Macaca mulatta: one gene and its partner. The protein of the gene in region 1 interacts with the protein of each later gene in a pairwise test. Links are inferred from orthologs where the notes say so. Each region holds a gene or a part of one and is shown in the gene's direction. Other genes may lie near its edges.

Region 1 (5,619 bases):
TTTTTTTTGAGATAGTCTCACTCTTGTTGCCCAGCCTGGAGCGCAATGGCTCACACTCAGCACACTGCAACCTCTGTCTCCTGAGTTCAAGAGATTCTCCTGCCTCAGCCTCCTGAGTAGCTGGGATTTTAGGTGCATGCCACCACGCCTGGCTAATTTTTGTATTTTTAGTAGAGAAAGGGTTTTGCCATGTCGGGCAGGCTGGTCTTGAACTCCTGACCTCATGATCCGCCCACTTCATCCTCCCAAAGTCTTGGGATTACAGGCGTGAGCCACCGCGCCCGGCCTTGAGTGTACCTTTCTATGAGTCCTAAGAAACACACACAGCTGTGCATCCAACCCCACAACCAAGATACAGAATGGTCCCATCACCTCCCACAAGTCCCTGTGCCCCCTACTGTGGACCCCTCTCCCTCCTCCCCAACCCCAGACCTGCTTTTTGTTCACACAGTTCCACCCCCTCCAGAAAGCCATATAAGTTGATTCCTACAGCACTCAGCCCTCTGACCGTGGCTTCGTTTCCATCCCATCCTTCACCATCCAGGATGATCTTTCTAAAATGTAAATGTGCCCTCTCCTCTGTGCTTCTACTTAAGTCTAAATACAACTTGAAGGGTCTGGTCTTTGACCGCTACTCCTGCCCATCTGGACAAACAGGATGGATGGCTCTCAAACCTGGCTTGCGGAACAGCCACCTGAGGGCTTGTCAATACCACACCTTCCTGTGTCTTAGCCCCACAGACTGAGATTCAATTGCTGGAGAGGATCCCAAGGATCTGTTTTCCACACAAGGTTAGGGAGGTCTGGAGGCCACATTTGCAGAAGCATAGCGGCCTCTCTCCACACCTTCCACACCTGTCCAGGTTCACCCACGTGGCCTCTGCTTCCTCCTTTCTCCTCCAACCCCACTCTCTGTCTCCGCATGCTGCATCCCCTCCTCTCCAGAGCTCTGGCAGTGGTTTCCTCACTTGGGAAGGTGGCCTCCTTCCCCAGTTCCCATCCACTGATTCCAACCCCCTTCCCATGTCAGCCACCTTCTCCTCTGCTCAGCTGTCACCTCCACAGAGAAGTCTTTCCTGACTCCCTATGTGAGTCATTCTCCCAGCATAGTTGTCTCCTGTCATTTCTTATTTGTGTGATTCTTTGATTAACATCAATCTTCCTGATTGGCTGTGTGAGGATAGGGCGGGGTCTGTTTTTGTTGCTTACCCCAGTATGCCCAGCACCAAACATGGGGCTGGCATATGGTAGGTACTGAACAGAGAGTTGAATAAATTAATGAGTGAATTGTCTACTCTGCCTTTGCACAAGCTGCTCCATCACCCAAGAGACCTTGCCTCCTCCCCCACTTCTTTGCTGGGCACATTCATACCGGTTTTCCTAGGAAAACTCTGGAGAAAATTGAGGCAGGAGTCACTCCTCTGTGCCCCCCCCATGGTGGACCTCTTATCACCCTAAGGATTGTTTGTTTTCCTGTCACCCGCATCAAGCTGGGTGGTGGCCACAGCCTTTGATTTCTGCCTCCCAACCCTTCTCCCAAGTACCCTGTTTGCCCAGTGCTGAACTAGAGAGCTAAAGTGATCCCTGAGAGAACTAAATCGATCCCTCAGGCCGGGTGCGGTGGCACACACCTGTAATCCTAACACTTTGGGAGGCCGAGGTGGGCAGATTACACGAGGTCAGGAGTTCGAGACCAACGTGGCCAACGTGGAGAAACCCCGATTTACTAAAAATACAAAAATTAGCTGGGTGTGTGGCCTGTAATCCCAGCTACTCGGGAGGCCGAGGCAGGAGAATCTTTTGAACCCAGGAGGCGGAGTTTGCAGTAAGCCGAGATGGCGCCACTGCACTCCAGCTTGGGTGACAGAGCAGGACTCTGTCTCAAAAAAATAAAGTGATCCCTCTAAGAGGAATCTCCAGGGGCCCAGGCCAGAGCTTTCTCTGGGTCACCATGGCTTCTCCCACTGTGCCACCCAGCCTAAGCCCCTCGATTTTAAAGGGGAAGCCAAGACTCTGGACTTTGCTCAGAAGGTGGGGGGCGGGAGAGGGGCTTACCCTGGGTGCCTCTGAGGGGCCAGGGCACAGCCACCATGGTATGGGTGCCTGCAGATCGACGGGCAGGCCATGTTGCTGGACACCCCCGTGGCTGGCGTCCCTCCTTGGCAGGGTGCTCTTTGCCCCATGGGGTGGGATCCAGAGCTGCAGAAGTGCCCCCTGGCTTGGCCAATGAACAGACCAGGTTCAGGGAGGATGTTTGGGAGGAGTGGACCGGTGGTTCCCTTTACCTTGCAGCCCTCAGACCCTCCCCCCGCCCTCCCAGGTGGTCGGGACTCTTGATCTTCGCTGTTGGTGCTGTCTGTTCGGCTGTCTTCCCCGCCTCTTCCTAGGCACCTGCACCCTCTCTTGGCACCTGCTGCCAGGCTAGGAAGGGCAAAAACAATCCCAGTTGGCGTAGAGTGTCAGGGAGTCCCCACCCTCCTCCCAGGCTTCCTCCTCCCAGGCGCCTCCCCTGGACACGCCCCCATCTGCCCAAGATAATTTTAGTTTCCTTGGGCCTGGAATCTGGACACACAGGGCTCCCCCGGCCCTGACTTCTCTGTCCGAAGTCGGGACACCCTCCTACCACCTGTAGAGAAGCGGGAGTGGATCTGAAATAAAATCCAGGAATCTGGGGTTTCCTAGACGGAGCCAGACTTCGGAACGGGTGTCCTGCTACTCCTGCTGGGGCTCCTCCAGGTAAGGGGACAGAGATCGGTCTCAGACAACAGCCTGCCAGGCAACCCCCAGCCGCACCAGGGCCCCAGGCTGTGCCCGTCTCCGGCCGAACTGGCCGTCGGCCCAGGTGGGCGGATTGGAGCCACCTGGCTCTCCCCCTCCCCCGCTCGGTGATGTCAGGCCCGGGGCGGGGGCTGGAGGGGGACAGGTACTTAAGGGCCTGGCGTCTCCCTCCCTGAAGACGTGGTCCCAGCCGGGTGTCCTGATGTTCGGGGTTCAGGTAAGAACCCAAGCGGGCATTCATCCTTTGGGGGCAGGCACGGCCGGTCTGGGGGCCGGTAGGGAAAGGCTGGGTCTCCTGCTGGGTTGCTCGGCCTCCCACTTTTCTCTTTTCCTCCCATCTCCCACCCCGCCCCCTCCTCCCCACCCGCCCTCTTTCGTCCCCATCCTGGTTTCCAGCCCTCCTTGTTCCCTCCCGGTACACCTCCCCGAAGCCAGCAGCGAGAATGGGAAGGAAGACCTGATTCTCTCCTCCGACTTGGCTTTCCCGCTGAAACTGGCCCCTCCCCGCACACCCTGGGAGAGCCGCCCTCACTCCCTGGCTCGCCCAGTTTACCCCAGTTTGGGTTTCCCCAAGTCTCTAAGACAGACGTCTCCGCGGGCTGCGGGGAGATGTGGGGAGGGCCCCCTCCACTTTGGAGGACGGTGAAGGAGAGGGATCCTCTAAATTGTTGAGGCTCCATCTCTCCAGACTGTATGCCCTGCTCAGCAACATCGCCTCCGGCCCTCGGGTGGGAAAGTGGAGGCCGGGTGAGCCGGGGTCCCTCCTGGCTTCAGCATGAAGTGGCCAGGAAGGCTAGAGGGGTGGGTGAGGGGCTCTGCAGTGCGGTGGGGCCTGGGGAGAGTGGGGTAGGGGATGGCAGATGGTTTCCTCTGCTTGATGAGGCTAAGGAGAGACCCAGGTACCCGGTCTGGGTCTCCCTGGCAGATTGAGGACAGAGAATGCACCTGCCGGCAAGGTGGAACCCCCCCTCGCCGCCCCGCTCCAGCCTCACTGCCCACCAGGAATGCTCCCTTTTGGTCCGCCGGTCTTGGACTCTGCTCTCTCCTGATATCCTGCTGTGTGCGGGGTGGGGGGACCTCATGGAAGCAGGCAGCCTGTAATGATTAACCGCACAGACACTCCAGCATTCTTCCCGAATTAAACTTTAAAAGAGCTGCCCCGCCTTCTCTCATTGGGTATTTTTCCTGAGTGAGAGTGGGCGGGGCCTCAGAGTCCTGGGTCCTCCCTTCTACTAGGAGTCATCCAGGGGTTTCTCACCTTCTCACCTGGGCCCTGCACCCTAAAAGGTTATAAGCCTGTCCCGTGGGGGCGGGGCGTGGAGTACTGGGCGGACAGGGACGCTCCCGCCACATCCAGGCCCCTGGCCCAGGCCTCAGTCCCGCAAGCCCTTCCCCCTACTCTGGGAAGTAGAGTTGTTTTCTGTTGGCCCTGAACACCGGGCCCCGCCACCCGCCCTTAGGGCCAGCCAGGTGGGGCGTGATTCAGGAAGTAAACAAGGAGGTTGGGAGGACGGGAACGCGGGTGGGGCTGGAGCCACTGGGGGAGGAGGCAGCTGGGAAGACACCGCCGGAGTTACCTCGTTGAGGGGACAAACTGATTTTGGGGGTCGGTTTTTCCAACCGAAACTTTCCCGGTGCCTCAGTTTCAAAACTCCAGATCTCTAAGCTGCCAGGCCTACAGCCAGGAGCCCTTCCCCTCCCTGCTCGCCTCTTTGGTCTTGAGGATTCCACCCGCCTCCAGCCTTAGAAGGGGCTGAAGGGCCCGGGTGGGGGGATCTGAAGGCAAACCCCAGCCTTAGGCTGGCCCTCTCTGATCTCTGAGGCCAGGCTGTAATGTGATTCAAATCCACTTCTAACCCCTTCCAATCGCTGCCCTCCTGAATTCTCTGCTCCTCTCCCCATCCCACTGTTGGCCCCCTGCAACCTGGAATGAAGTCACCAGGGCTGTTTGGAGACCGGGGCTGTTTGGAGGGTAGACTGGGGTGGGAGTGGGGGATCGTGTTCTGATATTGAGGTGCTGGTGTCTCTTGCTAGCGGGTGGCGGGTATATCTTGCCCCTCCTGGCCAGACCCTGGGCCCCCTCCCTGGCCCTTCATCCTGTCTGTCTTTTTGAGTGTTTTCCCTTTCTGCTCCTGCTCCTGTGGTACCCCTCTGGCCAGGACACCCAGGAGAATGTGTCGGGAGGAACCTCATCCACACGGGGCGGGGGCTCTGAGCGATGCTTTGGGTGGGGAGGGGCACCGCTGGGACACTGGCTTCTCTCCAAATGGGCCTCTGAATCCAGGCCGGGCATTGCCTCTCTCTTTCCCAGGTGAGGGACTCCCTGGCAAGGCGGTGGTTTGGCACTGGGGGTGAGAGCAGATCACAGGTCCCACCTGGCCTGGAGCAAGGCCGAGGGTGGGGAGGAGGAGGTGATGTCAGAGGAGCCTCAGGCCCCACATGTTCCTCCCCCATCCTGTTCCCAGCCCCATGCCTCCCCCATTCGGCTGTGGCTACCATTGGGTTGGGGAGTTGGGGGGAGGGTAGAGGCAGGGCTGTTTTTGTTTCTCCTAAGCCAGGAAGTTGTGTGGATGAGTCAAGGTTGAATGGAGAGCCCTAGGCAGTGTTGTCCCGCCTGCCCTGACTCACCTGTCCCCCAAATCCCCTGATGCCCTCACTGAGGGGTCAGGTGCCTGCGCCCTCCTGAGGGGTCAATCCCAGGTGCCCCAGGTGGCCTCATAGTACTGGCCCAGTGTTCGGAGAACAGGCTAGGGGCTGGGATTGCAGGTTCTCCCAGGTCTCAGTCCAGCCAAAGGGGTCTGCCTGGTTCCTGAGGAGGAGGGGCCAGCCCCACCTCCACCT
Region 2 (5,590 bases), on another chromosome or scaffold:
AAAAAGTAGCCAGGCGTGGTGATGCACACCTGTAGTCCCAGCTGCTCGGGAGGCTGAGGCAGAAGAATTGCTTGAACCCGGGAGGGGAAGGTTGCGGTGAGCCGAGATTGTGCCACTGCACTCCAGTCTGGGAAACAAAAGCGAAATTCCATCTCAAAAAAAAGATACATCAATCAGTCATCAGTGATATGAAGAAAAAATGGAGCACAGGGGACTGCAAGTAATAGGGTGTGGCCATGGAAGACCTGTCTGAGGAGATGACATTTGACATTTCAGAAGAGACCTGAATGAGAGGGACTCAGTCATGCAGACAGCTGGGAGAGGAGGGTTCCTGGGAGAGGGAGTGGCAGGTCTGACACAGAACTGTGCTTTGCGTGGGCAAGGGATCCTGGTAGTCAAAGTCAGAGGGAACGTGGTAGGAAATAAGGTCAGAGGTAGGCAGAGGCCAGATCATATTGTGCCATAAAGTCGTCACTGAGGAAGGACTATAGACTTTATTCTAAGTTACTCGAAGCCACGGAGAGTGACGAGCAGTGGAGGGATGTGATCTGACTTACTGTTTAGAATTATCACACTGGTTTTTGCGTGAAGATAGTATGTTGGGGCCAAGAGTTAAAGCAAGGAAACCAATCAGGAACGTTATTACAAAGATTCCTGTGAAACACAGTGGCTTAGACCCAAGTGGTGGCAACAGAGGAGCAAGAGGTGGTTGGGTTTGGGGTAAATGCCCAGGGTAATGCAGACAGAATCTATTGGTTGACTGGAAGTGGGGCATGAAAGAAAAAGAGCTCCAAGTCAAGAATGGCTCCAAGGTTTTTGACTAAGTCACTAGATGATGGGAAACACGTGGGGAGTAGCAGGTTTATGTGGGGAGATGTTTTGGTTTGAGATGTCTGTTAGGCAGCTAGTTAGAAATGCCCACTAGAAACTTGAATAGGCTGGGTGCGGTGGCTCACGCCTGTACCCAGCACTTTGGGAGCCTGAGGCGGGCAGATCATTTGATGTCAGGAGTTCAAGACCAGCCTGGCTAACATGGTGAAATCCTATCTCTACTAAAAATACAAAAAAAAAAAAAAAAAATTAGCCTGGCGTGGTGGCGGGTGTCTATAGTCCTGGCTACTCAGGAGACGGAGGCAGGAGAATCGCTTGAACCTGGGAGGCAGAGGTTGCAGTGAGCCGAGATCATGCCACTGCACTCCAGCCTGAGCAACAGAGCGAGACTCTGTCTGAAAGAAAGAAAGAAAGAAAGAAAGAAAGAAAGAAAGAAAGAAAGAAAGAAAGAAAGAAAGAAAGAAAGTTGTATAAATAACCCTAAAACTCAAGGGGACAAAAACCTTCCCTGTTAAATGCCCTGGTTTCTAATAATTGGGGGTAGCACGTCAGTTCCTGAGTCCTGCTGTAACTTCAGTTGGCAGCTTTCTATTGCATTAGGCATAGCCATCTGGAGTTGTAATCATCTGGACGCATTTCAACACCCAAGCAAAACTGAGCAGTGACGCCAGCCCTGCCAGGGAATTGCAAGGTAGCACAGAACGTGAATTGGTTAAACTCCACACAACAGCGTGTTGCTTGGAGACCAGCTCCACAAATTGGTGCCGGGGGTTATTCAAGTTCATGCAAGATGGACTCTGTCACAGAGCCACTCCCTAATTGTAAATTGGCTAATCCTCTCCTCCAAGCAAGCCAGGAAGGCCACGAGTAGGGGATGAGAAAGGGCAAGGCCAAATGACTGACTTTGCAGGTTTGGAGGACAGTGTGGCAGAGTGGAAAGAGCACAGTCTTTGGACGCAAACAGACCTAGATTCACATTTCTTCTCTGCTCCTTCCTACCTAGGTGATCTCTGACTTGTTACTTTACCTTTCTGAATCTAAAGCTCAGGTTACTTGGACACAAAGTGAGATAGGATTGTTGTAAAGATTAAATAAGTTTCAAGGGCCGGGCGTGGTGGCTCATGCCTGTAATCCCAGCACTTTGGGAGGCCAAGGCAGGCGGATCACAAGGTCAAGCGACAGGGACCATCCTGGCCAGTGTGGTGAAACCCCATCTCTACTAAAAAGACAAAAATTAGCTGGGCGTCATGGCACGTGCCTGTAATCCCAGCTACTCTGGAGGCTGAGGCAGGAAAATCACTTGAACCCAGGAGGCGGAGGTTGCAGTGAGCTGAGATCATGCCACTGCACTCCAGCCTGAGCGACAGAGAAAGACTCCACCTAAAATAAAAAATAAAAGAAAGAAAGAAACGAAGAAAGGAAGAAAGGAAGAAAGAAAGGATGGATGGAAGGAAGGAAGGAAGGAAGGAAGGAAGGAAGGAAGGAAGGAAGGAAGGAAGGAAGAAAAGAAGAAAGGAAGAAAGGAAGAAAGGAAGAAAGGAAGGAAGGAAGGAAGAAAGGAAGAAAGGAGGTTAAATTTCACATGCGAACCCCTGGCACCCGGTAGGCATTTGAAAAGAACAGTTCCCTTCTCCCCTGTCCAAGTTCCCTCTCTTCATAAAGTCAATATTCAGAGATAACCCTCTCTTCCACCGCCCCCCACCTGGGCTTTCTTTCACTCGGCTCCAATTCCAAATCTTCAGGCTCTAACTCCTGAAGGAAATGTCTCCTCCAGCCTCCCCACCCTCCTACAGCTAGCACATGGCATTTGATTGTTTTTCTAGAAATAAAGACCAGATCAGCAACATCTTTTCTGGGTTCGCGGGACTCCTTGCCATCCTCCTGGTCGTTGCAGTTTTCTGCATCCTGTGGAACTGGAATAAACGGAAGAAGCGTGAGTCCCTTGTTTGTCCTGAGTTTAGACATAGTAGGATTAATAATCTAGCCTGGAATGTAAAGCCCAGCTTATTTACCAGGGATAAACTATTGGCCTGGAGAGTCCTCAGTTCTTACCTGATACACTGGTCATTGCCTCACTCAAGATCCTGAACTGTGGCTCCAAAGGCCCAGTGCTGATGGAGTTCCCCTGGGAAAATCATTGCCCTGGTGCCCCTGTGTCCAGTTTCTTCTTTACTTTCTGTCCATCAAGTCCCCTATTCCTCTCACTCAAATGAAAATTCAAATAGGAATCCCCTATTCCTCTCACTCAAATGAAAACTCAAATCTGAAAGTGTATTTTTGTGAGAACTGGCAAGGATGGGGAGCATTTCCAGGGGCCATCTCATTCCCATGAGTTCCTTCACTCTGTGTAGCTGACCCCTGCCTTGACTCCCATCTCTCTCATTGCCTTGCAGGGCAAGTTCCTTACCTCCGAGTTACCGTCATGCCCTTGCTGACTCTGCCACAAAACAGACAAAGAGCCAAAAATATTTATGACATCTTGCCTTGGCGACAGGAAGACCTGGGTAGGTTTTTCCTTCTAATCTATGGAGTCCAGATGTTCAAACTTCCACTCCCAGAATGTGCCTCTCACCCTCCAGAAGCAACTTTCTCTAAGTTCTCAAACCTGTTTGCCCTTCAGAGAGTATCAGGGAGAATGGGATAGACAGACCGTCAGCTGCAACTCCGGGGGAACCTGGAGGGCTCCAAAGAGGGAGCAGAGGGTCATCTGGGCTGGGAGTTTTGTTTTTTCTTTTTTTTTTCTTTTTTTTTTTTTTTTTTTGAGACGGAGTCTGGCTCTGTCGCCCAGGCTGGAGTGCAGTGGCCAGATCTCGGCTCACTGCAAGCTCCGCCTCCCGGGTTCGCGCAATTCTCCTGCCTCAGCCTCCCGAGCAGCTGGGACTACAGGCGCCCGCCACCTCGCCCGGCTTATTTTTTTTTTGTATTTTTAGTAGAGACGGGGTTTCACCGTGTTAGCCAGGATGGTCTCGATCTCCTGACCTCATGATCCGCCCGTCTCGGCCTCCCAAAGTGCTGGGATTACAGGCTTGAGCCACCGTGCCCGGCCGAGTTTTGTTTTTTCTTAATATTAAGGCAACAGAAGAAAGCCACGTGTGTCCAGGCATGGGGAGACACAAAGGAGGAGAACTCAGTGCCAGCATCACAGGCAGAGGAGGGGCGGGGAGGAGGTTCTCCCACAGGACCGTGTTTCTCAGCCTCCCAATCCCCGTGATAGCATCCGCCAATGCCACAGAAGCTGAGGGGCTTCCGGTTCTCAGAGTGTCATCCCCATAGCTCTGACCTCAGAACACAGGAGAACACAGGACCCAAGGCTGGAAATTCCAGACACCATACAAACCCAGTTCATCCATGATGCAGGGATTATTTGGGCTGAAGCACTCAGAGGACTGGCTATCTTCAGAATTTGTTCTCTGTCCTTTCAGGGAGACATGAGTCAAGGAGTATGCGCATTTTCAGTACTGAGAGCCTCCTCTCCAGAAATTCTGAGAGCCCTGAGCATGTGGTAAGAGTCATGCTTCTCGGGAGAATGACATGTCTCTGGCAGAAGAACTGAGGGGAAAGAGTTATAGGGCTTGGATCTGGTCTCACTGCAAACAAACAGCATGTCCTTTGGCGCTCGCCCTGCGGTCCTATTAATAAATTGGGAAGACTAGCCTCAGGACCTCCCTAGACCCAAAAAGAAAAATTAAGGACAGAGGCAAGTGCTTGGAATTTTAAAAAGGGCACCAGGGTACAGATATTCAAGTGCACAATGTCAGAACTGAAATTGATTGGTATGTATAGATGTAGTTTTTTTTTTTTTTTAGATGGAGTCTTGCTCTCCCACCCAGGCTGGAGTGCAGTGGTGTGATCTTGGCTCACTGCAACTTCTGCTTCCCAGGTTCAAGCGGTTCTCCTGCCTCAGCCTCCCAAGTAGCTGGGATTATAGGCATGTGCCACCACGTCCAGCTGATTTCTGTATTTTTAGTAGAGATAGGTTTTCACTATGTTGGCCAGGATGGTCTCGATCTCTTGACCTTGTGATCTGCCCACGTTGGCTTCCCAAAGTGCTGGGATTACAGGCATGAGTCACTGTGCCCAGCCATTTTTTTTTTTTTTCCCTCACTCCAACCTCTGCTTCCTGGGCTCAAGCGATCCTCCTACTCCAGTCCCCCAAGTAGCTGGGACCACAGGCACACACCACGACGCCTGGCCAGCTTTCGTATTTTGTGTAGAGATGGGGTTTCACCATATTGCCCAGGCTGGTCTCAAACACCTGAGTTCAAGCAATCTGCCCACCTTGGCCTCCCAAAGTGCTGAGATTACAGGTGTGAGCCACCATGCCCTGCCAATTGATTATTTTAACAAAGACATGACAACATGCTTATTCAAATGAATGTCGCTCCCTTCAAAGTAATCATCTCAGGAGGGTATGCAAATATTCCAACAATGCCATTGGTGCTCAAAACACACTTACGACCCTGCTTTGGATATTACTTCCAGGGCTTATGTCAATTATTTCAATTACCCTCAGGAGCAGAAATGTCTGTAAGTCATTCAGCACTGTAGCTGATGTAGAAAGTGTTTGATCAAATGAGGTTGTTACAGGACCAACAGGTTTGTGTGTCTGCTGCCTGGTAACACAACATACACTGTCTCTACTAAAAATACAAAAGAATTAGCCAGGCGGTGGTAGGAGGCACCTGTAATCCCAGCTACTCAGGAGGCTGAGGCCGGAGAATCGATTGAACATGGGAGGCAGAGATTGCAGTGAGCTGAG

The links. The genes of interacting proteins can lie anywhere in the genome.
Region 2: the proteins of GRB7 (region 1) and LAX1 interact in binary tests that used the Homo sapiens proteins (3 or more experiments, as listed by UniProt). The two-hybrid records come from large-scale screens. The link is inferred for Macaca mulatta from reciprocal best matches to the Homo sapiens genes GRB7 and LAX1.

What each region holds. Positions count from the first base shown.
Region 1 is NC_133421.1:64,089,801-64,095,419, forward strand, and holds the start of GRB7 (growth factor receptor-bound protein 7), read left to right. Parts: upstream 1-2,305; 5' UTR 2,306-2,736; intron 2,737-2,954; exon of another isoform or gene 2,955-2,995; intron 2,996-3,174; exon of another isoform or gene 3,175-3,525; intron 3,526-5,619. UniProt on the Homo sapiens protein: Adapter protein that interacts with the cytoplasmic domain of numerous receptor kinases and modulates down-stream signaling. Promotes activation of down-stream protein kinases, including STAT3, AKT1, MAPK1 and/or MAPK3. Promotes activation of HRAS.
Region 2 is NC_133406.1:61,503,927-61,509,516, forward strand, and holds the start of LAX1 (lymphocyte transmembrane adapter 1), read left to right. Parts: upstream 1-1,758; 5' UTR 1,759-2,275; coding exon 2,276-2,433; intron 2,434-2,654; coding exon 2,655-2,764; intron 2,765-3,224; coding exon 3,225-3,335; intron 3,336-4,253; coding exon 4,254-4,333; intron 4,334-5,590. UniProt on the Homo sapiens protein: Negatively regulates TCR (T-cell antigen receptor)-mediated signaling in T-cells and BCR (B-cell antigen receptor)-mediated signaling in B-cells.